Linked DNA regions of Diceros bicornis minor. The main gene of each other region encodes a partner of the protein of the gene in region 3 in a complex. Links are inferred from orthologs where the notes say so. Each region holds a gene or a part of one and is shown on either strand. Other genes may lie near its edges. The genes, in order: ARRDC3, GRB10, NEDD4 and GJA1.

What was found.
Region 1: the proteins of NEDD4 (region 3) and ARRDC3 are in contact, whole or in part, in a crystal structure (PDB 4N7H), measured with the Homo sapiens proteins. The link is inferred for Diceros bicornis minor from reciprocal best matches to the Homo sapiens genes NEDD4 and ARRDC3. Residues at the interface, in NP_001271267.1 of Homo sapiens: Glu847, Arg849, Ala851, Pro852, Phe857, Ile859, Asp860, His861, Lys864, Thr865, Thr866, Thr867, Trp868; in NP_065852.1 of Homo sapiens: Glu344, Ala345, Pro346, Pro347, Ser348, Tyr349, Val352.
Region 2: the proteins of NEDD4 (region 3) and GRB10 are in contact, whole or in part, in a crystal structure (PDB 3M7F), measured with the Mus musculus proteins. The link is inferred for Diceros bicornis minor from reciprocal best matches to the Homo sapiens genes NEDD4 and GRB10. Residues at the interface, in NP_035020.2 of Mus musculus: Glu71, Leu72, Val79, Arg104, Ser112, Ile114, Leu115, Thr116, Ser117, Val118, Gln119, Glu134, Ile135, Leu136, Phe137, Arg138, Leu242, Pro243, His244, Pro245, Pro246; in NP_001357532.1 of Mus musculus: Ile514, Arg516, Gln518, His519, Phe521, His522, Gly523, Arg524, Asp548, Gln579, Phe581, Gly587, Asn588, Thr589, Lys590, Phe591, Ser592, Ile595, Gln596, Asp599, Phe600, Leu603, Asn604, Ile617, Arg618, Val619, Ala620.
Region 4: the proteins of NEDD4 (region 3) and GJA1 are in contact, whole or in part, in an NMR structure (PDB 2N8T), measured with the Rattus norvegicus proteins. The link is inferred for Diceros bicornis minor from reciprocal best matches to the Homo sapiens genes NEDD4 and GJA1. Residues at the interface, in NP_037118.1 of Rattus norvegicus: Asp416, Asp417, Tyr422, Val424, Asp425, His426, Ser428, Lys429, Thr430, Thr431, Thr432, Trp433; in NP_036699.1 of Rattus norvegicus: Pro277, Leu278, Ser279, Pro280, Met281, Ser282, Pro283, Pro284, Gly285, Tyr286.

What each region holds. Positions count from the first base shown.
Region 1 is NC_080740.1:17,721,726-17,728,798, reverse strand, and holds the start of ARRDC3 (arrestin domain-containing protein 3), read left to right. Parts: upstream 1-4,057; 5' UTR 4,058-4,288; coding exon 4,289-4,568; intron 4,569-7,073. UniProt on the Homo sapiens protein: Adapter protein that plays a role in regulating cell-surface expression of adrenergic receptors and probably also other G protein-coupled receptors.
Region 2 is NC_080780.1:7,064,565-7,072,040, reverse strand, and holds the start of GRB10 (growth factor receptor-bound protein 10), read left to right. Parts: upstream 1-4,461; 5' UTR 4,462-4,525; intron 4,526-5,008; exon of another isoform or gene 5,009-5,234; intron 5,235-7,476.
Region 3 is NC_080744.1:51,373,409-51,381,357, reverse strand, and holds the start of NEDD4 (E3 ubiquitin-protein ligase NEDD4), read left to right. Parts: upstream 1-4,939; 5' UTR 4,940-5,315; coding exon 5,316-6,875; intron 6,876-7,949. UniProt on the Homo sapiens protein: E3 ubiquitin-protein ligase which accepts ubiquitin from an E2 ubiquitin-conjugating enzyme in the form of a thioester and then directly transfers the ubiquitin to targeted substrates. Specifically ubiquitinates 'Lys-63' in target proteins.
Region 4 is NC_080762.1:15,391,667-15,399,183, reverse strand, and holds the start of GJA1 (gap junction alpha-1 protein), read left to right. Parts: upstream 1-4,509; 5' UTR 4,510-4,711; intron 4,712-7,517. UniProt on the Homo sapiens protein: Gap junction protein that acts as a regulator of bladder capacity. A gap junction consists of a cluster of closely packed pairs of transmembrane channels, the connexons, through which materials of low MW diffuse from one cell to a neighboring cell.

The DNA.
Region 1 (7,073 bases), on a different chromosome or scaffold from region 3:
ATGTCTATTAAATATGAAGAATGTAATAAACATACCATATAATTAACTATCAAATAAAAAAATCTCATTCATTTTGCTAATATTATAGCAAATCTTACCTCCAATCTCCACACCAATGTCAAATTTGTTGCATTCTGAAGATATTAAAGAGTTAAGTCAGAGTTACAAAATCTTGAAATACAAAATTAAGACAAAAAACAAACACACAGGAGCCAGGCCCATGGCATAGCGGTTAAGCGCACACGCTCCGCTGCTGGCAGCCCAGGCTTGGATCCCCGGGCGCGCACCAATGCACTGCTTGTCAGGCCATGCTGTGGCGGCGTCCCATATAAAGTGGAGGAAGATGGGCAGAGATGTTAGCCCAGGGCCAGTCTTCCTCAGCAAAAAAGAGGAGGATTGCCATGGATATTAGCTCAGGGCTGATCTTCCTCACCAAAAGAAACACAAACAAAACCTCCCTTAGTTCTACAGCACTGAAGCCTGTCAGGTGTTAGTTAAAAGAAGAATTAAGCAAGGATTTCATATTTTTCTTTAAGAAACAGATTCTGACTGCTGGTATGGTTTGTCTTACAACCACACACCAAAACTTGCAGTTGAGATGGCTTGCTCTGTTTTATAACAATATTGAGCATTTCGATATGAGGAAAAACTCCAGACTTGGCAGGAATGTTGTTGTTTGTTTTTGTGTGTGTGTGTGTGTGAGGAAGGTCAGCCCTGAGCTAATATTCACGCCAATCCTCCTCTTTTTTTGCTGAGAAAGACAGGCCCTGGGCTAACATCTGTGCCCACCTTCCTCCACTTTACATGGGACGCCGCCACAGCATGGCGGGAGAAGCGGTGCATAGGTGCACTCCCAGGATCCGGACCCGGGCCGCCAGCAGCGGAGCCCGTGCACTTAACCGCTACGCCGCGGGGCCAGGCCCCAGAAATTTTGACATATCACCTCAATATTAAATATCTTGATAGCGATTATCATTTTTCAGTTTTTGACAGAGTTCTTGAGATTGAGTTTAAACCTTTATACAGCAAGCTGGAACAGCCATTGAATTTAAAATCCAAGAAACAAATACCATAAAAAGAGATTCCTATTAAAGCCTTGAAGAAGATATAAAAAGGGGGAGGGGAAGCTGGTTACTCTGTCTAGTTGGAATTTTATTCAGTTGCGCCCACTAAATCCAGTGGAGGGCTTAGAAGAAGGGAGAGGAGATAACAGCAGTGGGATGATGTTCTGGGCACAGAAAGCAGCATGTAACTGCACATTGGCAACAGTGAGACAAGCTAACAAAGGGGACAGAAGATGTACTTGACAGGAGCATAGAGAGTTAGCAGACGAGGAGGAGGAGACGGCATACGAAATGTAGGCTGGGGTGCAGGAGGAGAGAGCATTGCTGCTAAAGATGAATATTTAAATTTAATGCAAAACACAATAAGGGCCAGTGAAGCAAGTCCGGAAGCCCTGGATAACAGCTACCCTACGGCGTTTCAAGCTGTCTCAAGGGTGTATTTAGACAGGGAGTCTTGAAAAGGGGAGGTTATAAAAGTTGAGAGAAAACATTCAAAATTTAGTCGAAAGGTTTTTTTTTTCTTTTAGAAATAAAAACATAAACGTGGCTTTAGAGCCGCCAGTTTTTTGCTTGTTGTTTGTTTCTGGTGTTTTCATAGTTGGAATAAATAGGAGGAGGAAAACAAAATGAAGCAAGTAAACTCAAGTTTAGACTATTTAGAAATAGTCATGTGACCACAGCCAGAGAGAAGAAATGTGATAATTAGGGTGAGTAGGATCTTAAGCAAAAATGATAGGGATAAGAATTTCTTGGCAACTTGTCAGTTACTGAAGTGTTTAGGAAGACACAGTAAAAGGACAATAAAGAGAAACAGCAAAATAAATAATACAGACAATCATTTATAATATCCTAAAAACTTCAAACAGAAGGAATAATGTAATATAGTGACAGGAATTAAGCATTTCATGTGCTACAACAGTTTTCTAAACCACAAGTAAATATGTTAGGGTTCTTTTTGGTTAAATGCAATTCTAGTTTATTTAAATAACTGATTCTTATTTTTTCAGAAATAAGTTATATTCCAACTGGAGAAATTTTACAAACATTCTAAAGAATTAAGCCATTGTTCACCAGCCTTTAATAATTTAAAACAAATTTAGTAATGAAGGCCTCACTGGGCACTGCACTTTTAAATCTATTCCTTACCCAATGTTATTTCAATGCTTAATAAATATCATTCCACCTTAACGCTGAGAAGCTGACATTTTAGCAAATTCACCACTTCTACCACTAGGTGGCGAAAAAACCCAAGTAGTATCTGTGATCAAAGCTAGTACAAGATCCCAAGTACTTGAATAACTAGAATTTCCACCAGGTGTCAACCAAGAGGGGAAAAAAAAAAAGACTATTTTTTCCCACTCAAATACACAATTCATAGTTTCAAGCATAACCATCTAAACTCTGAGTTAAATGGCCTGCCCATTAACTGTACAAATAGTTTGCACACTTATACTCCATATGTTACGCTGTTGAGTCCAAGATACTGTCTTGTCAACTAAAAGCCAACTAAATAAAATTTAGTTTCTTCCCCGGCCCCCAAAAAACAGCAAGACCAATGAGTTCAGTTTATTGTGAATCATAGGTTCAACCTATCCAAATATACTGCACAAAAGAAACCAAAATGTGTTAGACATGGACAGCCAAAAATCTTCCAAAGTGTATTTGGTTATGTTTATATAGTTCCAGATGCATATTTTTTTGTTTCTATATTTCTCTCTTATAAGCAGCTTTGTTGATCGCAAAAAATCTAGGTAAATTTATGCTACTAGGCCTTGAATCCCAGTCTGATATTTTCTGAAAGCATTGCCATTTGTTACCAAAACGGTCACAATAGAGACAAATGTACCTGTCTTTAAGATTATGAGAATTACTACGTGGAACAGCCCAAGGCTGAAAATTAAAATTAAAGTTTTATAGAATTAAGCCCTATTTATATATCAAAGCATGCTTTTTAAAAACTATCTTATGCGCTTCACTAATGTCTAACAAAGATTTTTCGATCTTCTTGTAAACATTATGTCAGCTAAAGCACTACGTCACGCTGCCTTTTATAAGGTGGGACTTTTTTAGGGCAAAGTCTATTCTTAATCCTCTGGACACAGGAGTTGTAATCATGTCATACCCTGCAAATGGAGCTGTAGGTGGTGTCTTAAAAACAGGCTTTTTCTTCCTTCGAGGAAGTGGTCAAGCCTTTTTTCCCCCCTGGTGTCATCATGCAAACAACTTGGGTTATTTTTCGCTGCTATCTAAGAGATGGAAGAGAAAACAAAACCTACTGATTAAATTATACTTGCTTCTCTTCCTTGCTCCGTACAGTATTCTCTTGAAAGTTCCTTTGCCGTAGACTGAGTTCATTTCCACCCTGCCTACAAAATACTAGTTTAAAAAAAAAAAAAAAGAACCAAGCCAAGAATGCTCTTGTCTCGGAACATCATTTCTTGTCTGCTTTTTATTATCTTCTTGGGAAATTCGTTAGATTATGCTGAGCAACCGGCCGCTTGCCCAACCGGTTTCTCCCCTACCCCCATCTCTCTTCACACATCACTTTTTCTTCCTCCCATCCAGGCAGTGGGCAAAACCCTGCAGTGCCGGTAACGCACGCTTCGGGCCGCTCACCCCGCAGTGCATCCCGACTTGGCTTTGCGAACAGCTCCCCACTCAGCCCTTCTCCCCCAGGGCCCCCTCTGCCATCATCTTTCCACACGAGTGTGCTCGGTAAGGGGCTCCAGGTAAGCACGTCGAGGGTTTACGGTAGCCTGCCTACCAATAGGAGCCCACAATGCAGAGAAGTCAGGTTCAGCCTCCCGGCAGCCCCAGAGCCGTCTTCCCCTAGCTGCACACCTACTGTACCCGCGAGCGAGCGAGCGAGGGAGCGAGCCCGGCGCGGGAGGGGGCGCGCAGGGAGGGCGGGCAGCAGCCGCGGCGCGTGCGCATGCGCACTGCGGTTGTTTTTCACAAAGCTGCTCTTAAAGTGAGCTGGCAGCCTCCAACCGCCCGTCTTTGTAAGGAGACCACTGAGACTAGCGGCAGCGCGGAGCAGCAGCCTCTCTGCTCCCCTGACTTTTTAAGAAATCTCAATGAACTATTTGTAAAGAATCACTGATCCTGCCTGCAAGCTTTTTGCACGGCAAAGACATCGATCAGTGTTAAGTGAAGATCACATTTTATATGTGATCTTGACTTTTTTTGTCTTACATTATATTTTTATAGATTTTGTTATAAACATGGTGCTGGGAAAGGTGAAGAGTTTGACAATAAGCTTTGACTGTCTCAATGACAGCAATGTCCCTGTGTATTCTAGTGGGGATACAGTCTCAGGAAGGGTGAATTTAGAAGTTACTGGGGAAATCAGAGTAAAATCGCTTAAAATTCATGCAAGAGGACATGCGAAAGTACGCTGGACCGAATCTCGAAACGCCGGCTCCAATACTGCCTATACACAGAATTACACTGAAGAAGTAGAATATTTCAACCATAAAGACATCTTAATTGGACACGAAAGAGGTAAGTTTTTATATTATTCAGAAATCATTAGACCTGTTTTCCTTGAGAGAGTGCCTTTTCAGTTTTTCTAAATTAATGTAATTCTACTTCCAGCATAACACAATTCTACTTCCAGCATAACACATAGATAGCAGTTTGATAAAGATTAGCAAAGTTGGAAGATTTGGATTCTCCTTGACATTCATCGTGTGTTAAGCTGTAATGCATGCAGGCATCTGCAAAGTGACTGCAAACTGCACTTAATTCAACTACCTCTATAGCCGGCTTGGTCTGTGCCATACGCACTTGCAATCCATTTGCACCTTACTTATGAATTCTGCTTAAATCCGATTCAGTAGTTTTACTAATATGGTTTCAAGTGAATTGCTAAAAGCTGTAGTCCAATATTAGATTTTTTCCTTATACTCTGCAACCTTAGATGTTAAAAACTAAGCTTCAGTGAAGAAATGGGATGACGTTAAGTGGGTTAATAGGTGTATTTCATTTTTAATATTGACACGCAAAAGTCTTTAAAGAATTGATCATTGTTCTTTGATATGAAGGGTTTCTGTGGCTTATTTTGACATATGGTATCAACACCCCACGTGTTTTTTCCCTATTCTTTCCAGTTTCTTTAGAAATTTACATCAAGCAGTCTCTATTTTAAAAGACAGTATCTATCATTAGGATATGTTTCAAATCAGTTTTAGAAGCCATTTAGGGTCAGTGATGTTCTTTTCCGAGCATCATGTCTAACTTTGGAACGTGCATTCAATGAAACCCTTGCCAGTCAAATGGAACTGAAAAAGTATTCGGCACCTTGGATTTGATTTTTTGCTTAAAAAAAGGAGATAAAGGGTTGTCAAAGGGAGAAGGGGTCCTGAGATTTTCAATCTATTGTTTAAATGGTTACATTGTGGAAATATAGAAGACTCTAAGCTTGTTTTTCTAAGTTTCCACCCTTTGTTAGAAGCGGTTCAATCCTGTTTCGGACCAGTTCTGGGGGGTGGTGAGGAGGGGCGCTTGTTCTGCTCTCAGCAGATTGGTTACACGCGTCAGGTGGTGGCGATGACTTAATTCCTAACCCAAGAAGAATATAATGTTAAAACTGGTTATGTAATTTTGTGCTTCTCCTTTTTAATGCAGTATTCAGTTTAAATGTTGACGATTTTTCAGAGTAGAGCACATTTTACCTTATTTTTTATATTAAAAAATAGACCTCCATGAGGAAGTGCTAATTGAACTAAGGCAAGTGTAGAAAATGAAGGATGCTTTGAGTTACAGCATCAATGCGTTACTTTTTAAAATATTTAGATGAAATCAATTCTTTAGTTTGGTTTTCAGTTACATATAGGTAATTTGCATCCTGAAAATAATTTCTGGTTAATCTCACCAAGCGGTAACACCGATAAGAACTGTAAATGCCCAATGACAGTCCTGGTGTTTGTTGAAAAGCAGACACATGAGTTTGTGTTTGACCATTTCTGGACATTGCAGCTTTTGATAAAATGGTTGAGGAGAAACAAAGGTTTCTAAGGAGTTGAGGCTTGCAGTGGGGTAAAAGTAGAATAACGACTAATAGGCACAAACACAATTTCATTAGTTTCTCCGTGATTTCATGGTAAAGAAAACTCCGTGCCCCACACCCTACGAGGTGCCCCGCAACCCCTGCAAAGCGTGGACGAGCTCTTAGACTGGAATAGTTTCAATGACTTAAAACTGGGACCTCTCAAACTAGCCTGGTTCCCGAGACCCCGCCCCGGGCACGGCGATAGGCGGAGCCGGGTTTGTTAGCCTGTTGCTAAGGCGATGCCAGGCTCTGATTGGATTGGGCGCGGGCGGGTGGGGAGAGTGGGCTTGCGCCGGCTGGGGCGAGGCTTGGAACCGGCGTGCGCCGGTAAAGGTCCCTCCAGAGCTGCCTCCGCCGCCCGACTCGCGTCACTCCCCGGGCTTCGGGATGCGCCGGGGGCTCATGTCACAGAACGTTCTGTCGCCCCTCTTGGGGCCCCCGAAAGAAACAAGTTCAGGTTCCAACAGCATAGAGGGCAGAAGCTCCAGCAGGCCTTACAGGTGCCCAATGGCCCTGGTTGCAACTTGAGCTTGCAGTCCTATTCAGAGGGAACTTGGGTGGGCAGGGTTAGCAGGACCCCGTTCCTGTTCGGGTGGAAGGCGTCAGGTAGCTTCTGTGAACGCTTGTTTTCCTCTTAGCTGAAACAAAGCGTGTTTGCCGACCTATGTAGTCACCAGACGGGCTACCTTGATTTGACCTGCGGGGGGAGAGTGCAAAGGCTGCCACGAGGGGAAGGAAAAGTGGTATTAACACGGAGAGCAGGGTGGGGGCCTCTGCGAGTATCCCCTGCCCCCTCCCCATTGTTTCCTGGGGCTCTGCCCTCCCCCCTCACCGCCCCAGTTTCCCTCGCCGCAACTGGAAAGGTGTCAGGGTGGCCCGAGCCAGATAGAACCGGTCACCGGCTGGGGCGTGTAAAGCGGAAGCGCTGCGCCGCGGCGGCCCCGCCCCCAGTGCAG
Region 2 (7,476 bases), on a different chromosome or scaffold from region 3:
AATGGATGAACAAATTGAGGTACATCTATACATGGAATAGTAATCAGCATTAAAAAGAAGCAAGCTATTGGCCCGGCCCCGTGGCTTAGCGGTTAAGTGTGCGCGCTCCGATGCTGGCGGCCGGGGTTCGGATCCCGGGCGCACATCGACACACGGCTTCTCCCGCCATGCTGAGGCCGCGTCCTACATACAGCAACTAGAAGGTTGTGCAGCTGTGACATACAACTATCTACGGGGGCTTTGGGGGAAAAAAATAAATAAAAAAAAATTAAAAAAAAAAAAGAAGCAAGCTACTGATTCATGGAACAAGATGAACTTCAAATGCATTATGCTAAGTGAGAAAAGCCAGACACAAAAGACTCCATACTGTGTGACTGTGTTCATATGACAATCTTGAAAAGGCAAATCTATGAGGACAGAAAGCAGATCAGTGGCTACAGGGAGTGGGCAGGGTGACTGATTGCAAGGGGGCCAGAGAGAACCTTTTGGGGTGATGAACTGTTCTCTATCTTCAGACCTTGTGGTGACACAGCTGTACACCTTCAACTCCACAAAGTGTGGTTCTTCCTGAAGGCAAATTAAATCTCAATAAACCAGACTTAAGAAACATCGTTCAGTTAGCACCTGTTTTGGTTGTAGAGTCATTTTGATTCAAGCTACCTCGGGAAAAGGAGAGTTTATATTAAGACATCATAAGGAAAATGCAAATCTAAAATAAGAGTTGCAGGAGCCCAGGCAAACAGAGACAGGAGACAGAGGGCATCTATTTGGTGCTTACTTTTGCACCTCCCTTCATATACTGAGCCCAGCTCAGCTGCTCCTCCCCTGATCTCCATTGTCCAGGCCCCTCCAGCACCTCCAGTTTAGAATTCCAGGTGCAGGCATCTGACTGCCATCCTTCCACCCACTGGCCAACCTAAGGAGTGGCAATCTTTGGGTCAAGTGTCATCCCCCAGCAAATCAAGTGCTATGCAGAGACCAAGGAAAGGCAGGATTGTTGGGGTCTGGGGACAGTTCCACTTCTGACGAAATTGTGCCAGTAGGCCCCATGATGGGCAGATCTCATACCCTCCCATCACCACTGGGATAAAGTAGAATCGCCTGCCCACAACAAGTGGCCTGATCTCCTCTCAAGTCTCCTGATGCCCCATGTCCTCCAGCCCCAGGCCCAGCATTCTATGATGAAATGCAACTACTTGAAAATTCTTTCTTGGCGTTGGCGAGGCCTTTCCCTAGACCTGGAAGTCCTCTTTTTTTAGGTCCTCTTTGCAGAACCTACCATCTTGGATGGTCTAGGACTCCACTGGGGCATTGCCACCACTGGGAAGCCTTCCCTGAATGCCAGGCTCCCACCTCTATACTGGGGGGTGGGGGTACTGTATGTCTCTTGTTTAGAGGATTCAAAGAATCTCCATGTTTGGAATACTGGCGCGCATGTGGATCCTGGGGAAGGCTGTTAAAAATGCAGATTGACTCTGAGGGGTGAACTCTATAGGACGGGGGTGGGGGTGAGCCCAGGTGTTCTGAGGCAGGCATTATGATTGTATTGTGATTGCAGATGAATCTCTGCCCCATGGTGAGTGGGTGAGTGGGTAGTCCTTAGTGCTGTTGACCACTGGTTTCCAGCTCTGCCTGCCAGGTACATGCATACCCTCCAACCCAGTGCCCTCACCCCATGGGAGCAGACGTGAGGGCCACTTCTGGTTGGAGCATTTCACTGCCAGGGTGCTGTGTCTTGTTCTCTTTTCCTTTGCCAAGGCTGCTGGCAATGTTTGAGATGGTGCCCGAGTCCCAGGGCGTATCATTCATTTACTCCTTTCATTTGCTCAACTGAAAAATTCATTTGCATGATACTCTTTCCTAGTGGTGACTTATTGCACTAGTGCCCGCTCAGTGCCAGGCACTCCCCCTGCTGGGATAACACCAGCGAACAGCATGTGGTTACTCTTGTCACATGCTTACAGTCAGCAGAGGAGGCAGATATTAATCAATTTGTTACTAAGTATAATTCGAGTCTATCAGATTCTCTACTTTCAGCTGAAGGAACCTTCTAGTACATGGTTGGATAATCAATTCCTCACTAATGTGACATCCCGTGTCCTGTCCTGACACTTAGTTGCAGCAGTACATTCCCCTTGTGAAGCTCTTGAACACAAAGCCACACAGCCCTGCCCCTGTAGGCTGGGTTCTCCGGGGTAATTTATATACTGCACGGCTGTATTTCACCCTGGCTTCCATCCTTCTGAGAGGGAGCACGTGGCCAGTGGGCATTTGGAATTTGCAGCAGGGGAAGTCACTAAGGTGCAATCTGCCCACAGGATTGGCTCGGCCAGGATCACTGCACAGAGGACAGCTGCAGCTTTACAGCCACAAGAGTGAAAAGTTCATGAACTTGTACCATAAAGTGGTACTGAGCAGGCCCTGCCCAGAAGGGAGAGGCATTCATGGATGTCTACACAGAGCCGGGAAATGTGGGGAATGAGGGCCCATCCTAGGAATTCTGGGCATCGATGTCAGCATGAAAACACTTGAGGACATTTATTTTGATCCCTTCCCAGTGAATAGTAACGTTTGAAAGCCCACACATTTTGAGACAGCTCAATGCAATACCCGACCCGGCCTGGATCTTGTGATGGAGGAGAAAGGAATACTATAAAGCGCACTATCAGATCAACTGATAAACGGGAATATGAACCTAGATCAGACACACGTATTTTATCAATATAAATTTATGAATTTGGTAACTGTACTGTGGTTACGTAAGATAATATCCCTACTCTTAGGAAAGACATAACAAAGTATATAGGGATAAGTGGCTACAGAGTATGGAACTTACCTACAAATGATTTAGGAAAAAGTATGTCTACGTCTATCGATGCTTCTCAGACATCTATAAAAGCCCTCTGCCTGTCAGGCTTCCTGGCTGGTGCAGGCATTCCTTGCTGACCGGAGCCTTCAGCAAAGCTGTAAGGGTCAAAGCTTATACACTTGTGAGAAGATGGCCAAAATCGAGTTTTCTCTTCTTTAATTTTCTCTTGATCCTTTGTCTACAACGGGAGTCCTTATGTTCCATTCTCCCAGGAATCTAAGCTCCTTCACATCATTCTCTCTAGATTCTCATCCCATGGGTTTCGGAGCTTGGACCAATGAGTAGACATTTTCGGGAGGCCTATGTCAGTTACAGGAAAGGATGACCTTTCATCGATACATCAGCCAAAGGTGGAAAAAGCAGGAGCTATAAAAAGTGCCATAAAGGGCTCTGGCACAATCCTTACTCTGCGCTTACCAGCTACTTGACCTTAGGCAAGTTATTTCACCTCTGGGAGATTCGGTTTCCTAGTCTGTACAGTGGGCATCTCCCAGTAACAACCTCAGAGGCCAGAGTGGGGTTACATAAGAGGATTAATGAATGTTTGGCACAAAATGTGTGCTTAATAAAGGTTAGTTATTATTGTAGCTGCTTTTATAACATCAAGACCCAGGAAAAGACATAATTATTTGTATTATAATTTTGATTCGCTAGAGACATTAATAATCATATTAATGACAATGGGGTTCCTTCGTGCCAGTCACTTTATGTTACAGGTATGACCTCATTTACCCCCCAGGACATCACTTCAGGTGGGCCTATTAGTCCCTTTCAAAGATAAGGACATTGAGGCTTGGCAGCATTGAAAGAATAGGTAGGGCCTCCCCACCTCACCCGCACTCCGGCGCTCACATGCAGATAGGGAAACTGAGGCTCTGAGAGGCGAGACCCAGACAGGGCTGGCTGTGAGCGGACACTGTAGGTTTCCCTTTCCCGGGCCGGGACCACCAGCCCACGACAGAGTCCCAGCAGCCGCAGCTCATCCGTCTGTCCTTGTCTTACGCCCAGGATAAAGGATTTGGACAGCAGAGTTAATACTTTGAGTTTCAAAGAATTCGCTTACAAATTGCCTTTCGGGATAGGTCCGATGTGTCTTTCGCGGGCGCCCGAGCCTGGGCTGTCGGGGTTTCGTGTCGGGGGTCCCAGGAGGCAGGACGACCAGTCTGGGGGCCCACGCCGGGCTGTCCGTCTCCCGCGCCGGCCCGGGCAGCGGCCGCCCAGAGGGTCAGGCGCCCGCGCCCGGTGCCCCGCCCTGTGCCCAGGCCGCGGCTCCGCCCGCGCTGGCGGCCGCCGAGCGATCCCGGCGGCGGCAGCGGCGGCGGGAGGAGGAGCAGGAACAGCGGCCGGGGGAGGAGGCGGAGGCGGCGGAGGCGGCGGCGGCGGGCGGGGCCCGGCGAGTTTAAAGCTCATCGCGGGGGTGGGGAGGCCGGGAGGAGGCGAGAAGGGACGAGAGCGGCGTGCCGGCGGCGGGCTCGGCGCTCGGAGGCCGCGGAGACCCGCGCGGGGCCCGAAGTTTGCGCGCAGCCCTCGGCGGCGGCGCGCGGGGGCCGGACCGCCCTGCGCGCCGCGCTCGCCCCGCGGGACCCGCGCCCGCCCCGGCCGCGCCGAGGGGCGCCGGCGGCCTCGCGGAGGCGGCCGGGAGCGGCGCCGCGGCAGGTACGGAGTTGGGCGGGGAGCGCGGCGGCAAGTTACTTTGTGGTCGGCGCGGCCGGGCCGGCGGGCGGCGGGCGGTCCCGCGCCGGCATTGTCTGCGCGCTGGCCGCCCGGGCCGGGGACGCCGGGCGCCGCGGGGGCGCGGCGGGCGGAAGGGCGTCGCCTCCGGGCCGGGGGCCGCGGCGCGCGAGGCGGGGACGGGCTGCGGGCGCGGCGGAGCGGGGCGCAGCGGACTGGGCTCTGCGCGCTGCGTCCGCGACCCCGGGAGCTGGGGAGCCGGGCGGCGCCTGCCTGAACCATCGTGGCCGACGCCGGCCGCTCGCGGGCCGGGCTGGGGTGGGGGCTGCGCCGCCCGGCCGTCAGGGCCAAGGCCGCGCTCCCGGGCCGCCCGCAGGGTGGGCGCCAGGCGCCCTGCCGCCCCCGGTGCGCCCGCGGCCGGGGCGGCGGGGCCGGACGCCCCCAAGCCGGAGCGCGGCCCAGCCTCGGGATCTTTTTTTTTTTTTTGGTTTTGTGAGTGACCCCGTTACCCGCCGCTGGGGCCTAACCCCGAGTTGAGGGCTCTCGGATTAGCCGCCCGCCAGCCGTGGAAATGTGATAAGAGCCGTACCGTTCGCAGAAGGAAATTTCTGATGCAACTCGCCGCTTTTGCTGATTGCCTCTCCAAACGCCTGCCTGGCGATGGCCCACGAGCATGTGCGTTATGGAAATTAGGGTATTCTCTACTTTTTATTGTGTTCGACTTGTTTGGGGATTGGAAGAAACTCCAACTTTTGGTTGTTTGCTTTAACCGAGACGTTGGGTGATGTAGGGGAGCCACAGGTGACCTTTACAGGGTCCTGGATCTTTACGATGCATAGGAAAGAATGCTTTCTTGCAAACGTTGTGTCCAGTTTCATTCAAGAGATGCAAAGAAAAGACCAAAACAAATAGCGCTCGTGAGTAAATATGCGTTATTGCACAACTTTCTCGTTGCTGCTGTTTACAAGGCCGGGCCCGGAACACTTTGTTTCTGAAAATGCTGATTCAGCCGTTTGGAGCCCCCGAGTTTCATAAATGGTGCTCTATTGAACGTTTCGCTCAGTTTTACTAAGAACACATGTTAGCGCAGCAACAGGCGTTGACTAGGATTTGCAGCACAAAGCTGGTAATTTTTCGCAAGAGTTGACCTAGGCTCCCCCTCTTTCTTTCCAGGAGGGAAAATAGGTAGCATCTAGGTTTCTATAGCAGAAGAAATTCTGACTTATGAGGGTGATGTAGTGTCTTTTAGGGGAGTATATTATTAAGTAAAAACCCTGAAACCAAATGTGTTTCCTGGAGTGATTCTAGATGACTAGGTTTTTCTGTTAAAAATCAGAAGTCTAGGATTCCTGTACATAATATTTGAGTTTTACTGGGAGCACTTGAAAGAGAAGGGCCACACAGACCAATCCCCAGATTACAGGGAGAGAATTTGAGGACAGAGAGTTACACACCCAGCAAGTGTGCCTGTGTAACTGAGAAGTGTAGTGACTGAGACTTCTGTAGCATTTTACAGTTTACCTGGCACCTTCAAAGCCTGGTTGCTTTTAATCCTCTACAGCCCCCTAATCCCCATTTTACAGATATGGAAACCGAGGCTCAGGAAGTTAATTGGCATGCCCAGGGTGACATGGCCAGCACATGACAGAGCTGTTACCAGAGCCTAAGCTTTGCATTTTTTAAGTTCTGTGTTTTCTGCTTCTGTACAAGTACATCTGCCTCTGACAGAGAAATGGCCCGGAGAAGATCCGCCTGCCAGTCGCACACCCAGAGAGCTAGGAGGCTGTGTTACCATTCCTGTGGCTCCCAGCTTTCCAGATTTCTGCCATCTCACCAGGCCATTATCAATATTTTCTTTTGTCCACTCACTTTTTATACTTAAATACACGTTTATTTTGGGAGGAAACTTTGATATCTACAAAGTCATGAGTTGGATATGGTAGTTATGTTTATTATAATTAAAACAATGTTTTAATAAAAGCTGTCTACTATAGTCGTCTCTTGCATATCATCCGTGGTCTGTACCAGTTCTAGGGCATCACTGGGCTGGGCAAAATGTCTTTCATTTGTGGAGCAGGAACCCAGAGCTGGGCAGGTTCATGCTGGCTACTTGTCCAGGGCTTTGTATGGTGGTGGCCACCAGGACTGGAAGCCAAGGCAGCCCTGGCTCAGTTCCAGTGACCGTCTCTGTGGCCAGTCAGCCTCCAACAGGAGGGAAGAGCGAAGTCAGAATCCAAGAGCCAGCATAGAACTTTTGATTTTGATGATGTGGCTGGTCTGAGACTTTACAATGTATAGAAACCAAACTCCTTAACAAAGACATCTGTTGTGCCTTCAGCCTCATCTTAGAGCTGTAGAGGCTCTGGGTTGGTATATCGGGTCAAACATAATGTCTTGAAGGTGGCATAATTTAAAGAACTTATTTCCTTGAATTCTGTCCAACTCTTAACTGCAGGGGAAGGAAAACCTGCACAATGGTCGGATGTATTTGAGCTTGTGTCTAGGGCTAGCTGGCCTGCCTGTCAGAACTCAGAGCCCACTGCAGGGGACTTCTGTCCTGCTTCGTGGGAAGGAAGCTTGTGCATTTGCGGTTTGCTGCATAATCCCCGTGTCTGTTTCTTAGTCTTAAACCAATGTGAAATTGCATAGGCTCGTGAGGAGAAAATATTTGCCTTGTCTTTCATTTAAGTAAGCAGTCATGTGTTCAAAATTTAAATAAAACTTTTCTGCTAGTGGAGATTTTTTTAAAACCTGTCTTTATTTTTTTGCTTAACTGTAGAAGTGTGGGACATTAGAGAAGAAATGAAGACAGTCAAGCTATTTGATGGGAGAGGCTTGGGTGCTTTGGGGATCTGGGAACCTTGTATAAGGTCTGAGCACTGATGGATGTATAACTGATCTGATCCATTCGAGCACTGGCTGCCTTTTAATTTATG
Region 3 (7,949 bases):
TAATATCATAATTTATGTGTTTATCATCCTCAATAGATAATAGTGTTGTTTCCCGCTTTTTGCTATTACCAGTTGATAAACATTCTTGCTGTGTTTCCTGACGTACGTGTTATGAGTGTATCTCTAAGATTCATATTTTAAGGTTGAATTGCTGGGTCATGGTATTACCAGTATTACTGGCATTACATGGTATTTTTCCTATTGTTACTGACACTGATGTGAATTTCTCCCTGATTCTTGGGTGCATCGTTGGTAAACTATTTTGTTTGAGTTATTCGCATGTTGTTCAAAAAGAAAGATAGCTCTTGTTTGTGCTTTCTACCCTGCTTAGTTGTCTAGTCTTTTTTGCCAGTAACTTTAGTATGGTGTGACTATTTCTTCAGTGCCAAAATTGATATTTGTCGTACACTGATTGGTCCGTTAACACTCCTTGAGGATTTACTATGTATAGCATACCAAACAGGGTGTCATATGTCAAAAGAAAAAAACATTGCCTGTGATATTGACAATGGGCTATTTCTAGAGTTATAACCGTGGTATAGAAAAATTTTTAAAACTTTTAAAGCTAAAAGCAAAAAGAAAATAATGCGTTGATCAGGATATTATAGATCCCTACCCCAAGGAGTCAGAAGTCTTATTGTAGTCCTGCCTATGATTTGATACATTGGCTTATAACCCTGGACAAATTATTCAATCCTTCTGAAAATATTTTCTTATGTTTAAAAAATAGGAGGCCCAGCCCAGTGGCATAGTGGTTAAGTTTGCATGCTCTGCTTCAGCAGCCTAGGGTTCACAGGTTCGGATCCCAGGCACGGACCTATGCACTGCTCGCCAAGCCATGCTGTGGCAGGCGTCCCACCTGTAAAATAGAGGAAGATGGGCACAGATGTTAGCTCAGGGCCAATCTTCCTCAGCAAAAAGAGGAGGATTGGCAACAGATGTTAGCTCTGGGTTAATCTTCCTCACCAAAAAAAAAAAAGGGATAATAATATTTGCTGATAAATGTATTGTGAGGATATAGCAAGATAACGGCTATCAAAGCACTCCAAAAATATTTCATCGTGATACAAATATAAAGCGTTATTTAACATTCATGGACTCATGCGTTTATGGCTTTCTGATACTGTATTTTTTGTGTTAACTGAGGTATGCTATTTAGGGTATCTGCTATGTTAGATACTTTCCTGTGCATTAGCACTATAGCTTTTCTCAAGAAGCTCACTTTACTAGCAAAAGGGAGCAAGAAATGATTAGAACAGGGCAGTGTGTGTCACTCTAATCCTCTGATTTGTTGCTAGTTCTAGCAGGTGATTGAAGTGTACAGATCACCTGAGATGTGATAGAAACTATAGCCATTGGTGGAGTAACAGGCTTGATTGTATAGCAATAAATGGCCTATGCCACTGTAAATGTCATTTTATCTTTATTCTCCTGTAGCATTCACAACTGAATTAAGAATGTCTCCTTTTCCTAGAAAATTCTCTTTGGAAATGTACAGTGAAGAGCACAGATATAATTTTAAGCAGAAGCAATTTCTAGTCATCTGGAAAACATTTGCAATGTAAGTGGTATTTGTTTCGAGAAAGAGTAGGCTTAAATTCCTTTTTTTCAGCCAATTTTAAGAACCTGAGAGTTAGAAACTATAGTAGTTTGGTTATGGTGATAGTGGTGGTAGTGGTGTTGATAGTGATGCTGTGCCTTTAAATGAGTTCTGCTCATTAATGCAAAAGTTAGTGCTTCTGTGTCACTACCTAAGAGCTGCACCTGCACACATCTAGCCTCTGAAGTTTGGGAGATGCCTGTATTCTTTATCCCGAGTGGAGATGCTATGCTTCTCAGGTTTAGTGGTTGTATTTGGGTTCTGGAGAGAAACAGAACCAATGGGATATACATATACACAGAGAGAGAGAGAGAGAGATTTATTTTAAGGCATTGCTTCACATGATTCTGGAAGCTAGTGAGTCTGAAATCTGTGAGGCAGAGCTGGCAGGTTGAAGATTCAGGTGAGAGTTGATGTTACAGTCTTGCGTCTGAAATCTGCAGGGCAGGCCAGCAAGCTGGAAACTCAGGCGGGGTTTCATTATTGTACTCTTGAGGCAGAGTTGCTTCTTTGGAAAACCTGTCTTTGCTCTTAAGGCCTTTATGTGAGTGGATGAGGCCTACCACATTATGGAGAGCAGTCTGCTTTACTCATAATTTACTGAATTAAGTGTTAATCACATCTAAAAAATAGCTTCATAGCAACATTTAGACTGGTGTTTGACCAAATAACTGGCAAAATAGCCTAGGCAAGTTGACACATAGAATTAATCATCACAGTGGACTTTGGCCTTCAAAGATCTAGTCAATGATTAGGGTTATCCAGAGCCTATCCATAGCATGTAGATAATCACATTATTTTCTGTGTAGATAATCAGTAACCAAACGTCTCAGAATGTGGGGTCCTGAGCTTCAATCTAATCCTAAGACATTATGCATTCATTCCTCCCACATAAGGGCTGCCAGCAGTCTCCAGCTCTTCTCCTCTTGAAGTTAGGGTTGATGTTCCTCTTTTGGCATCTTTTTGGCCAAGGGGCTACATTTTACCCCAGGTTCTACACATAACTGCTGTAATGGTGGTACAGATCCTGTGCAATCCCAGACCAGAGCCAGCAAAGCAAACTGCTCAGCCTCTAGAATTTAAACTCAGCCTGGAGTGCTAGGAAGTGCATATGATTCTTACCTCACTTTTCCTTGGCTGAAGCCCTCTTTGCAAATTTTTCAAGCATCATTCCTTCTGGTCCAGCTGCAATGTTTTTTGATTTTTCTTTAGAAGTGGTAGCTGGATCAACTTTAAAAAAATTCTGAAAGCGTTAGGAGGTCAGAGTAACTGCAGTGACCATCCATCCGTTTATCCAACTTCTGCTCTGCTGTTACCTAGTGCTCACTGTGTTGCCAGCATGAGCTCAGCAGGATCAGAAGAAATGTTTAGTTATGGTCCTCCTACTCTGGAAGCTTAAAATCTAGTTAGGGGACATGAAACTGACGCTTATAGAGGAGCTTCCCAAAGAGAAAACTTTTATCTGGCCAAATACCTGGGGTTCATTATTTTATGTTAACAACCTGAGGAGCTTTGCTTATTAACTGAAAGTTTTAGGCCACAGGCGTGAGCAGTTAGACTAGCTCATTGATTAGCCTCTTAGAAATGATCCATTCTTTGAGTTATCAGACCCCTAACTTAATTCAAGAAGGAAAGTTGAAGTCATTTGAAGGTAAAATGAAAAGATTAGGACTCTTCCTTCTATAAGGAAAAAGGATGATAAGGGAATATTTACTGAAGTGTGTAAAATCATAAAAGAGAGAAATTATACAAAACCAAAATAACTAATAATTTTATTACTCAGTTTACAATTATACATTCAAAAACATACTACTATCATTCTAGTCGGAAATATAATTTAATAAATCCCATGTTTCTATTTGGCCATGTCTTAACTGATTAAAAATACTGTTTAGAAAATTGTGATTGAAAACAGATTTATCTTAAGGAGTTTTTTTTTTTTTAAACAAAGTGCAAGTATATGTTTTACATATTTGCTTTTACTTAGGAAAAAAAAACTTACCTAGAAAAATACAACTTGGGTGTAGTACCATGTGGTGTAAACAACTGAACTATTTTACTTTACTTTCCTATGAATGAGCCAGTATATATTTATTACTGGAGTTCCAGCTATAAAATTCAGGTAAGGGGTTTAAATATACCCTAGAGTATTATTTAAAAATAAATTTGTTTCTTTCAAATAGAATGCCAACCTTGGTCCATGACATGTGGGGGAGAAATTAAAATATTAAACTTTTATTACCTAGTAAACTGAAAATAAAGTAAAGGTTAAATAAATACAAAGCAGAAAATATATATATACAAAATCACAACCTCTAAAAAGACAAACAGTCTACTGTTCTCTGCTGTGGGAGCTTTATCAACAGTAGTAGTAAGGAATTCCACCTCTAGGGCAGTGCTAGTACTCAAAAATGTAAACAAGTGTGTACTTTGTTTATATAAAGAAATACGCAGCATGGTTTTTATTTCTTTGTAGATATCAAACAGCTAAATGGATTGTTTCAAAGCACCAGTAGGGGCCAGCAAAGAGCTCCTAGAGTTTTTCAGAACAGAATTGGCATTGAGATATGTTTATTTGATGTGTTAAATCCTTTTTAGACTTCTTTACTTACCACAACACTCTTAAGTGAATGAATTGCAGAGACAGTGGAATAAAATATCTTGTGTGCTCAAACTACATTGGGGTATAGTTTTTCTGTCTAATCTGCATATATTTTTAATGGAATGTTTGCTTAGGCTGTTTTTTGGCAGAGTTGTGATAGTCAAAATATAAATGGCATCATTTAAAGACTGTACTACTTGGCTGGAAAAGGCCTTAAAATTACAGGAGAAAATGCCTGGTGACAGCTTCTCTTTAACTTTTTTTTCTCAGACGTGTGCTCGATTTTTGCAATTGTATTACTAGGCTAATTTTGTATTTCTATCCTTAAGCGTTCACTTTTTATAAGTAGTGTTTTGGAAGCTAAAATATTTATCTTTATCTATTTGATTTAATGCTAAAGTTTTAATTCACTCCAAAGTTTTGGTATTTCCAAATTTATACAACTATTTGAACTTACTCATTTAAAAAAAATTTAAGTCTATATTCCTTTCTACATTAACTAACTTGACTAGATTCCTAGTGTGGCTACTATTTGGAAATTCAATCCTTTATTTGATACTCAATTACATGGGGTTTCGTTCCTACCAACTTCCTGTAATTCTATCCCTATGGGTAAAAATATTAGTGGTCAAACTCAGCTGGAGAAAGTATAGGCACCGTGATTCACATGGTTAAATGTTCATTTAGTAGAGCTGGAGTGAAAAAATACTGTTTCAACTTGAAATGCTAGAAGATTGTTGTTCTTGTGTTACTCATTCATGCAAATTGGAGAAGGTATAATTGAAACAAGGTTGGCAGTGTTTGAGGCAGTGTGCTGCAGCTGAGCTCAGCTTAAAGGTCGCTGGAAATCAAGTGCTTTGTAAGTGAAGGCATTTTGACTACAAGCGATTCAAGACATTTTGGAAACGTCAGTCTCAGGAATGGGTCGTCTTTTTCTTTCTGTGATATCTGGTATCTAATGTTTTACTTAGGATAAAGACTACTACTTAAGAGCTCTTTTAGGCACCACAAATGATTTTTTCTTTCAGTGCAGTGCAGCTGCTTCTAGCCTGTCTACAGACAGAGATCTTTGTTATGACTTTTAGCCCTTAACATGTTTGGAAATGAGAACAAATGGCACAAAGCTTACGATTGCACTTTGCAGCCAGAAGAAGCAATACTTATCCTTTGTCAGAAACCTCCGGAGATGATTTGGATAGCAGTGTTCACATGTGCTTCAAAAGACCAACACGGATTTCAACGTCTAACGTTGTTCAAATGAAGCTGACTCCCAGACAGACTGCGCTAGCTCCGTTCTTAAAGGAGAACGTTAAGTCTCGGGAAAGATCATCTGTTCCTTCACCTGAAAATGTTAATAAAAAGAGCAGCTGTCTACAGATTTCACTACAGCCAACAAGGTACAGTGGATGTCTTCAGTCTAGCAATGTCTTAGCTGATGGCGATGATGCTTCATTTGCTTGTGTCTTGAAGGAAGGCATTTACAGCATTGCTGAGGTTGATAATGAACTGAATGCTGTGAATGATGGTAACCTTTTAGGCAGTTCTGCCATTTGCAGTGGTAGCCTTAGTAACTTTTCAGCCAGTGAGAATGGGTCTTACAGCAGCAACGGTAGTGATTATGGGTCATGCACGAGTATCACAAGTGGAGGTTCATACACCAACAGTATCCTCAGTGACAGCAGTGGTTATACTTTTACACCAACTGATGATACTTTTTTTGGTGGAAATTTATCTGCGGACAGCACCTCCAATAGAAGTGTGCCAAACAGGAATATTACTCCATGTGAAATTTTTTCAAGAAGTACAAGTACAGTTCCGTTTGTCCAAGATGACTTGGAGCATGGACTAGAGATTATGAAATTGCCAGTGAGCAGGAACTCGAAAATTCCACTAAAACGTTGTTCATCCTTAGTCATTTTTCCTAGGAGTCCTTCAAATACTCCACCAACTTCTCCAACAAATACAGGTACTCTTCCAAGCAAAGGATCCTATCAAACCTCACACCAGTTTATTATTTCTCCTAGTGAAGTTGCCCACAATGAAGATGGTACTAGTGCAAAGGGATTTCTTTCAACAGCTGTCAACGGACTTCGGTTATCTAAAACAATCTGTGCTCCTGGAGAAGGAAGAGACATACGACCACTTCACGGGAAGGGCTCATTACAAAAGAAAATGGTTGTTGCAAATAATAGTCCAAATCAGACTGTCTGTGAAAAGTCATCTGAAGGATATTCTTGTGTTTCAGTGCATTTCACCCAACAAAAAGAAACTACATTAGATTGTGAAACAGCAAATGGTGATTATAAACCAGAGATGTCAGAAATTAAGCTTAATTCTGGTTCAGAGTATATTAAGCTTATGCATAGAACATCTGCATGTTTACCATCCTCCCAAAATGTAGATTATCAAATAAATATCAATGGACAGTTGGAAAGACCAAATTCACAGATAAACAAAAACCATGCTATCTTACAAAGAAGTATTTCATTGGGAGGAACTTATCCAAATGTTTCCTGTTTATCCAGCCTTAAGCACAATTGTTGTAAGGGGGGACCATCTCAATTACTTATAAAGTTTGCATCTGGAAGTGAAGGTAAAGTTAATAATTTATCGAGAGACAGCAACAGAGATTTCGCAAATGAACTGTCTAATTCTTTGAAGCATTCTTGTGAGGTAAGTTTCCTCTGGTCTCAGTAAATATTAATTTATACTAGAATAGCTTTATGAAATATTTGTTTAAAATTTATTATAACTTAGTAGTTTTATATACTTTTCTGGTCCTTAGCTAGCAAATATTCTGTAGTCATGAATTTTATATTTGTAAATCTGAAGAATCCCCAATAGTTTTTCACTCTGTTATTTTACCAATATAGAAAATATGCATTAAAAAAAATAACTTTCCAAAGTGATTTAAGCCATAAAACATTTCTGTAGCATAAAAATAAGCTTTAAATAATAATTTATTTTGTAACATTTTACCTTGGTATATTTTTTAAGTGGCATAGTATTTTAATGTCTAACTCCATATTTATTCCTACTTTCAAAAATGCTCATTTGGTGTTCTCCCCTCCTTAATCATTGTGAAATAAAGTGAAATATAGGATGCTAATTTAAAATATTAAACAATAAAAAGCCCATATAAAAATGGGAAAAACTTGTTATAAATGAACATAGAGAAAGTGTTTCTCTAAAATACACGTATTTATTAGATTATTGATAAAAGCTATTATGCTGTATGTTTAAAGCAGAGGAAAAATAAATGGTATTTGCATTTGTATATACCTTAACCACAGGAATTTTGTTTCCACCCTATTTTTCTTTAGCTACCCGTTAGGACTGCTATCTAAAATGTAACTCACTCTTTGAAGGATATTGAATTCTAAATTTTATATTTTTCAATTTGGTTTCAATTGCTACGCATTTCCCCTAATTTTCTAGCTACCTTATAAATTTATTTTGATAATTTTGCTTTATTATATTAGTAACTTGACTCTAATGACTCTTAACTAGAACAGCTCTTTATGTAATTTGGCCTTTCCAGAGTATTTTAAGCGTTTTGAATTTAAATAGATTTTTTAAATTTCTGTATTTGGAAAGTCTTGCCAGATTTCAGGAAATTAAGAAATTTTTCTGACTAAACCAGTACTAAATGACAGTACCTAATAGTTTGGGGGAAAAAAACTTATCTGTGTTTATGTAACACTTAATATCTATATTAAAGATTTTTTTAAAACTTCTGGACAAGTA
Region 4 (7,517 bases), on a different chromosome or scaffold from region 3:
CTTTTCCCACCATTATTTGCTTGCTTTTTCAAAATTCAGTTAAAGGAAACTCAAAGCCTAAAGCTGAATGAAGTTCAACCTGATACTGTTTTTGTCTTTACCACATAACTTAAAAATCCTCACTAGCACAGTTCCTGAGACATAATAAACATTTCCTGAGTGAATGAATGTAAACATTCACAAATGATCTAAAAATTAGCCAAGCTTAATAAAAAAGGTGCAAGTTTTTAAAGTGAAAGTATTAAATGGTTTACCAGTTACTTCCTATGATGTTCATTTTCACTCTGTACAGAAGGGGGAGCCAAACACATATTTATCCACTGGCTGGGATTCTTTCCCATTAAACAAAATAAAAAAAATTCTTCCCTTTACAAATACTGTTTTTGTCTGTAGCCACACAGTAAGATTCACTTGCAGACAGATGTGAGCTACACAATGAGTTCAGATTTTACCCAGGTTGAGACAAACTTTGATCCTTAAATATCTCTTAGAGATGATAAAATACTAAGTAAATGGGAAGCAAGTTTCAGTTGTCAGATCCCAGAAATACATCTATTGAGAAAAGATTCTAGCCCAAGTCGGTAATATGATGTGAAATCTTCACTAGTCTAAAGGAAATATGGTTGATCAACAAACAGTCATGTTAAGAACACATTTTCTGGCCACTTAGGTAGAATATTTCTGAACTTGCATAATATTGAGGTCCAAATTAACTTTTTCTCCTTACTGTCCAATAAATATTAGATAAAATGGAAATTTGGTGCATAGAAAGGATTATTCCAATACTAATGGAAGGAAATCCATAAGACAATGCTATCTTATTCCAATACAAATTCATCCTAGACCCTTCCAGTCTTAGATAATCCTTTTATGCTTCTACAGCTGCCTTTGGAGTTCCCCACAGGTACTGCAAACTTTTCAACTCTGATCAACTTGCTCTTACTTCAGAGTCAGCTGATAACTTCACCTACTTTAATTGAGAAGTTACCTTCAATTCTAGCTTCCTAATGCCTCCACTCTCTAGCTCGAAACATTTTTTTTCTTTATAGTCTATATTCACTCTTGTTTTAAAGGAAGACCTGTCCTTTTTTCAAAGTTAAGACTCCCCCAGTACCCGGGTGATATTTTCCTTACAAATAAGCCTACTTGTGGCCATTTTAAATACCCTTCCCTTTCCCCAATTCTAGGCCTCTTTTCTTATTCTTTTTCTTTGCCTGCATTAAATGAGGAAATCCACGAAGGCTGTGTGTATGTTCTTTCTGGCACACTGCCTACATCCTATCTCTTAGTAATCTCATCTGTACCTGTGGTTTCAATGACCAATTCTATGAATATAATCCCAAATTTTACAACAATTTTAACCCGAACTCCACAGCCCGTGTCTTGAGTTGCCAGTCAGATAGCTTTCCCTAGATGTTTCAGTTCTTCATACCAAAATATTCCAAATTGAAATCATTAAATTTCTTTTAGTAAATCAGTTCCTCCTCCAGACATCCTTTTTGGTATTAGTAACTTTTTCCCAGTCAAAACTCCAAAATCAGTTTGCACACCTCCTATCCCTTGTCCTTCCCATTCAATCTGTCATCAAGTTCTGATAATTCTTTCTTACTCCTATATCCTACTTCAGGTCCTTATAACTCACTCCTCCACCATTACAATATTCTCCTTACTGATCTCCAATTTACAGCCACCAATTATTTTTGAATGTTGTTGCTATTCATTGAAGTGAGAGTAATCCACCAGGGTTTGAGTGAGATAGGCATCTAAAATCCTTAAAAATTAATCCATTTATCTCTTAAAATTCCAGACATTGGTATTTTGAAACAAAGGTAAAAATCAAACAATGCAGTTGGTTGTCACGTTAAGAAATACTTCTCACAATTCTGAAAAAGAGTTTACTTTCCACTGTGACAATAATGTGCATTTCTCAACTAGCAGAGCAACATGGGTAACAGAGTCTGAGGCCCAGCTCATGGTGGTGCCTAAAGAAACTCTGCAAGAGCTGTAAATGGCTGTCCTCATCCCTCAAGAGCAGTGTTGCCTGACTAGCAAATTAGGCTGCATCCATTTCTTCTGCATAGACAAGGCCTGGCAATCAGAGAAGATACAGCTCTGGGAAGTCAAGTATTTATATTAATGAAACCGGATTGGCATTTCTGAGAATATGAGAAAAACACATTTTAAAAAATCTATCCCACAAATTTTGCAAACCACTACAATGGAGAGCAGCTTCTAAGGTCAGATAAGTGGGATTCTTTATAAAAGCAAATTATTGGTCAAAATGCAACTCACCAGCACTGCTAGAGTATGAAAAATAATAGGATAGCCATTTGGAGAAGCAATTAGGTGTCCATGACAGAAAACTGTTATGTTCCAACACGGAAGCCATCACAGCAACCCAGCTCTCCCTGAGCATTATTACTCATAGGATCACATTTTGGCGCCATTATTCCAAAAGGGAGAAGATCTCACTGAATGTCTTCATCTTTTATGAAGGATCATGGGAAAATCATTTTAGAAATACAAGATATCATACATCCCATATGTTAAGAGAACTAATTATTTAATTAGTGGCTCATGCTATGGTCAATCTTTATGGCTTAGAAAATGGTTCAAGGGATATCCATGAGTAACTTTAGAAGTTCTTTAGTTCAATTTCCAATTGGTCATATAGGCAATAGACTAAAGAGAAAAGGTAGCAGAATGCTTAGACATCAATATCCTTTTATAGACTGAACAGAATATAATTGGAAATAAACACAATTTTTCGCTTTAACAACCCTGCTATAAGACAGTTGCAACTTTTCTTTCATGCAACTAATTGTGAATTAGCATTTTAGGAAATCTTTTTCATAAAATGAATAATTTTAGTAATAACTCTACTTAATAAATCTACAAAAGTAAAGGAAATAATTATGTAAATTAAGTGAAGCATAGACTTTTTTTAAAAAAAGGGGGAAGAAAAGCAGATTTTCTTATAATAAAAAGATTAAATCACATTTTCATGAATGTATTCTGAATCTAAAGAAATAATTTTTAGTTAGGACAAAACAATAGACTTGTTTGAAGGAAAGGACACTATAATACAAGACCAAAACAATATTTATGGGTTGCTGAGGTTGAAGACTTGAAAGTCAGATTACAATTTCTATATCTTTTTTTCCCCTTTTTTAACTTAAAGAAATATGTACCCTTGGAAATAGTATAGCCAGCAAATGAGAGAGCAAAACTATGTCTTAAAACTATAACATTTCAAAAGGTGTTTTATTAATTATTTTAATGAAAGTATGTTTAGGGAAAGGTATCTATCAGGAAATATTTGCCTTCTTCCTTTTTTCTGATATTTGTATCAGTGAGAAAAGAGTAAGAAATAAGGCTGGATGAGTTTGCACTTTTTCCAGAGAATAATGGCCAAGACATTTCCCCATCCAACTTCAGGAGCCACACTGAAGCCTGTTTATGGGGCATTCGCCTATCACAGCCTCCTGGTACGGCGTCTGGGGAGTACTCAAAGGAGATACCCACCCTAAGAATGAGGCCACAGGACTGAGGCTATTGCAAACCCTAATGCAGAGTGCTGAAGAGGGATGACCAGGGAAGCGGTTGGAAAAGAGCATAAAAATTATATGCACAGCTCTACTGTCACTGGGCAGAAAATTCTCCAGTGGATTTTAGAGAAGGAGATGGTCTCAAAGAGGGTCGATAGTTTGGTACCCACTTAATGCCGATTTAACATATGAGTATTTCACAAAAAATATTCTGACATTTCACTAAAAGAAGACTTTGTTTTTAGTGCAATAGTATGAATGGGGCTGAAATATTGTAAATTTTCAGTTCCCTGGAGATCTGGTAGATGTCAAATTATGAAGATTTCACAGTCAAAATGTATTATATATTATACAGTTATAAATACAAATACAGTTTTTGCTAAACGAAGAAAGAGTAAAAATTCAAAGCAGTCAAGGTGTTGGAAGGTGGATCTGGGATGGGCGTTTTTGAAATGTCTCTCTCTCATCCCCACCATTTCTTTTGTCACTTGTCCCTACATAAATTAAAAGGCAAAGAATTAGATCATCAAATAACTCACTCACACCCACCTTCAACTTCACACACCTCGGCCAATATGAATCAAGTTTGCACTGGCTATACTCTTTTCATCACTTTTATTTACTGTAAAATACATATTTTTTTTACTTGGGAAAAGGTTGTAACATTATAAAATATACAACTTTTTATTATCCCTGGACTTTTGATGAAACAAGCACTAATAAAACCAGTAATTGTTATCTGTAAAGAGTAACTACAAGTAGTGGCATTCACGTCTCCAATGCTATTTCATTGCTCTCGTCAGCAAATTTAAACTACAACTTTATCTCGACCTGGCTAGTCCTCTGCCTGTTTCCCTCCACCCTCCGTGTTCACCGGCCGCCTCTCCACTCTCCTCCCCTTTCTTCTGGCTCCTCCTCCCCCTGTTGAGTCATTGGCTTGAAACTTTTAAAAGCTCTGTGCTCCAAGTTAGAAAAAAGCTTTTACGAGGTATCAGCACTTTTCTTTCATTAGGGGGAAGGAGGGAAGAAAGTACCAAAGAGCAGCAGACTTTTAAACTTTAAATAGCCAGGTCTGAGAGCCTGAGCCTGCGTTTTCATTGTATTTCATCCTGTAAGGAGCTGAATCACTTGGCGAGCCTACTTCACTTCTTTTAAGAGAAAGAGTAAGTTAAAAAAAAAAAAAAAAGAAATACTTTACCTATCTGTTTCTTTTATTACAAGTAAAACTTTTCTAAAGTTTTTGAATGTGTTCAGTGTAGCTTTGATAGGATGCTGTAAATGGACTGATGAAAGTGTTCCTGCAGTTTTCAGGTTAAAAGTGAACGTTTGATATTTACGTTTTTGACTTAAAATGTTTCTACGAAAAATGCAACAACAGGTAAAATAAGATTCAGACCTTTCTGATTGGAATACAGCATTAGTTTACTGGGTATTTGGTTCTTCATTTTAGAGTATACTTTTACTTTTTTTGTAATCAGTAATCGTCTAGGCGCTTTGTAACTTGTTGGGGGAAGGGAGCTCAGGGGCCTGGGATGCGGATTTGACTGACAACATCACCAAAATCAAAGTGCAAATTTGCTTAGCGTGCTTGCTATAGAATTCTACGCTTTGTGCTTTTTCATATGGAAATCTTGATTGATGTTCCACAGCCTTGCAAAGCTGACTTCTTAAGTGCTTTGTTAAGCCCTTAGGGTTACTTGACTTCCACGTGGTCCCTTCCTAAAATTTTCCCCTGTAAACAAAAAAGTAGAAAAATCAGAGTTGTAATATTGAAGTTTTTAAAGCAACAGTAAATAGTTAGTTCGTGTAAGCAACCACTATGGAAAAATCTGAGACCCTCAGGAGAGCCACCTTTTACTCGACCACGTTGACAATTCAGGAGATGAAATCCCTTGAATTGGGTGATGGTTACTTACAAAGTATAAGAGGGGGAGAGCAGACGTTTACAAGAGTGTATGCCAGGGTGCATTTCCAAAACCGTCGCCTAAGACAGGAGCTGCTGGAAAGAATATGAAACGAAATTTCTTAAACGGTGCCTTGGAGGAAACTAACCTACCCCACGCCCTTCCTCCTGTCCGAACCTGTAATAGACTTCAGAGCTCTGGGGCAACTTTTTTGAGTTGGTGCTGCCACTAAGCAAAGATGACGCTGATTTGTCATGAAAAACGGTTGAATTTCTTAATTGCTCTTATGGGTAACACACATTCTGTTAGCCAGAAATGCATTTTCGTGCCCGGGAAGGAGTCTGTCTAACTCCACAGACTAAAGTAATGAGTTTAAATTCCTGGTGCGACCCTGCAGTTTGAAGGAGTTGCACCAGAGAACGCTGAAAAGCAAATAAAAATGAAAGCGTTGCGGAGGCGGGGGACCCGACGGGGGCCGGCGCGGGGCGCCTCCTGCCATCTTAGCCTCCGCCCCGCTCGCCCCCGGCTCCTGCGCCGCCCGAGCCGCCGGGCTTTGGAGAGGTTTGGCGAGGTCCCTCAAATCCTTCCAAGTGCAACCGAGCGCAGGTCCGAGTTCCGCCGCTGAAGAGGAAGGGGAGGGGGAGAGGGGCGGGGGGGGATAGACTGCATGCCCAATGGAGAAGAGGAGCAAATGATTAATTGAATTAAACGTGTCGATCTAATTTCCCTTCCCTTGCCTTCTCTCTCATCCCCATCCACAGTGTCCTCCTTTTTCGTAAACTTGTTGAATCCTACCGTATGAGCATTGGTAAGGGAACCTGAATACCGCGGGGCTTACCTAACCGGCACCAGTAACTCTCCTGGAAGTTCTTGAAACTTCCCAAGAATGGGGGCGGAGGGGAGGGCGGGGGAAGCCCGGGAATGAGGCTAATGACGTGGCCTAAGGCAAGTGAGTACAGGATTCCGAAACTCAGTCAGTTCCGAGCAGGGGGTCTCCCACACTGCCCTCAGCCGTCCAGCTGTTTACAGGACATCTCTGATAAAGCTTATCAGAAGCGCTCCCTGAACATCCTCATCCTCACCCTAAGGGTGCCCGTGTTTCTCTCTACAAGAGCAAGTGGGGGGTGAGAGCTATAAACTGCGGGGAAAATAGACATGGCTTTATTTGGAGGGGGGTTTAATTTCTCTTGCTTGCCTAACCAAGTTAGTAATGAGAAGATGCTTAATCTCACCCTTGGAAAATTGAGCCCGCTTGAACTCAGTCAAAAGTGCCCCGTGGCATATGAGATGTTTTTTAAGAAGCCTAATTTTTAGCTTGGTACAAAGATTGCTGAAAATAAATCCTGTAGTAATGCAGAGAAGATCTCATTAAACTGACTCCATTCCCAAGAATAAAATAAACCAGTTAGATAGAAATCACCTCTGGGGAAGAGTAATTCATTTTTCTAGGTAGGCCCAATTGACTGAAAGCTATACAAAGGGCAGGAAGTACGTTCTGTCTTGGCGATGTGTTGAATTCTGTACTGCTGGAAAGTGTTCCCCCGATGTGTGATGCTTTGTACTTCCCTAAATCAGGCTAGAGTTGTCGCCTGTCCTTTGCCTGGAAAATGCAGTGGTGGTGCTTTGCTCCTACTTTCTTTGCTGTTTAAATTGTTCCACAGTTTTCTAATACCTTTTATAGTTTATCACACAGCTCCCCCATCCGCTCAGTTCCTCACCCTTTGCAAAGGGATTCCTACATTAGCTACATTACCGACCCTCCCCGGGGAACATGGTTCCCAAGATTCTCTGTTAGCAAGCATCTACAAGGGTGTGTTTTCAGATATCCAGAATTGTTTTGTTTCTTAGATGTTTCCAATTCCTGTGATGGAAAACTCCCGATACAGTGCATTCCTTCGTTTCTTTTATAATATCCAGAGGTGTAACTTGGTATGAGCCTCAGAGCCTTTCTATCTGTTACCCGAGGGAAAGGAATGATAGGCAAGTCAGCAGTGATTAATACCGAGTACTCCGCCTTTCCTGTTCTGACTTCCCTTCAAGATTCTCTCCTTGTTTGAAGAGTGTG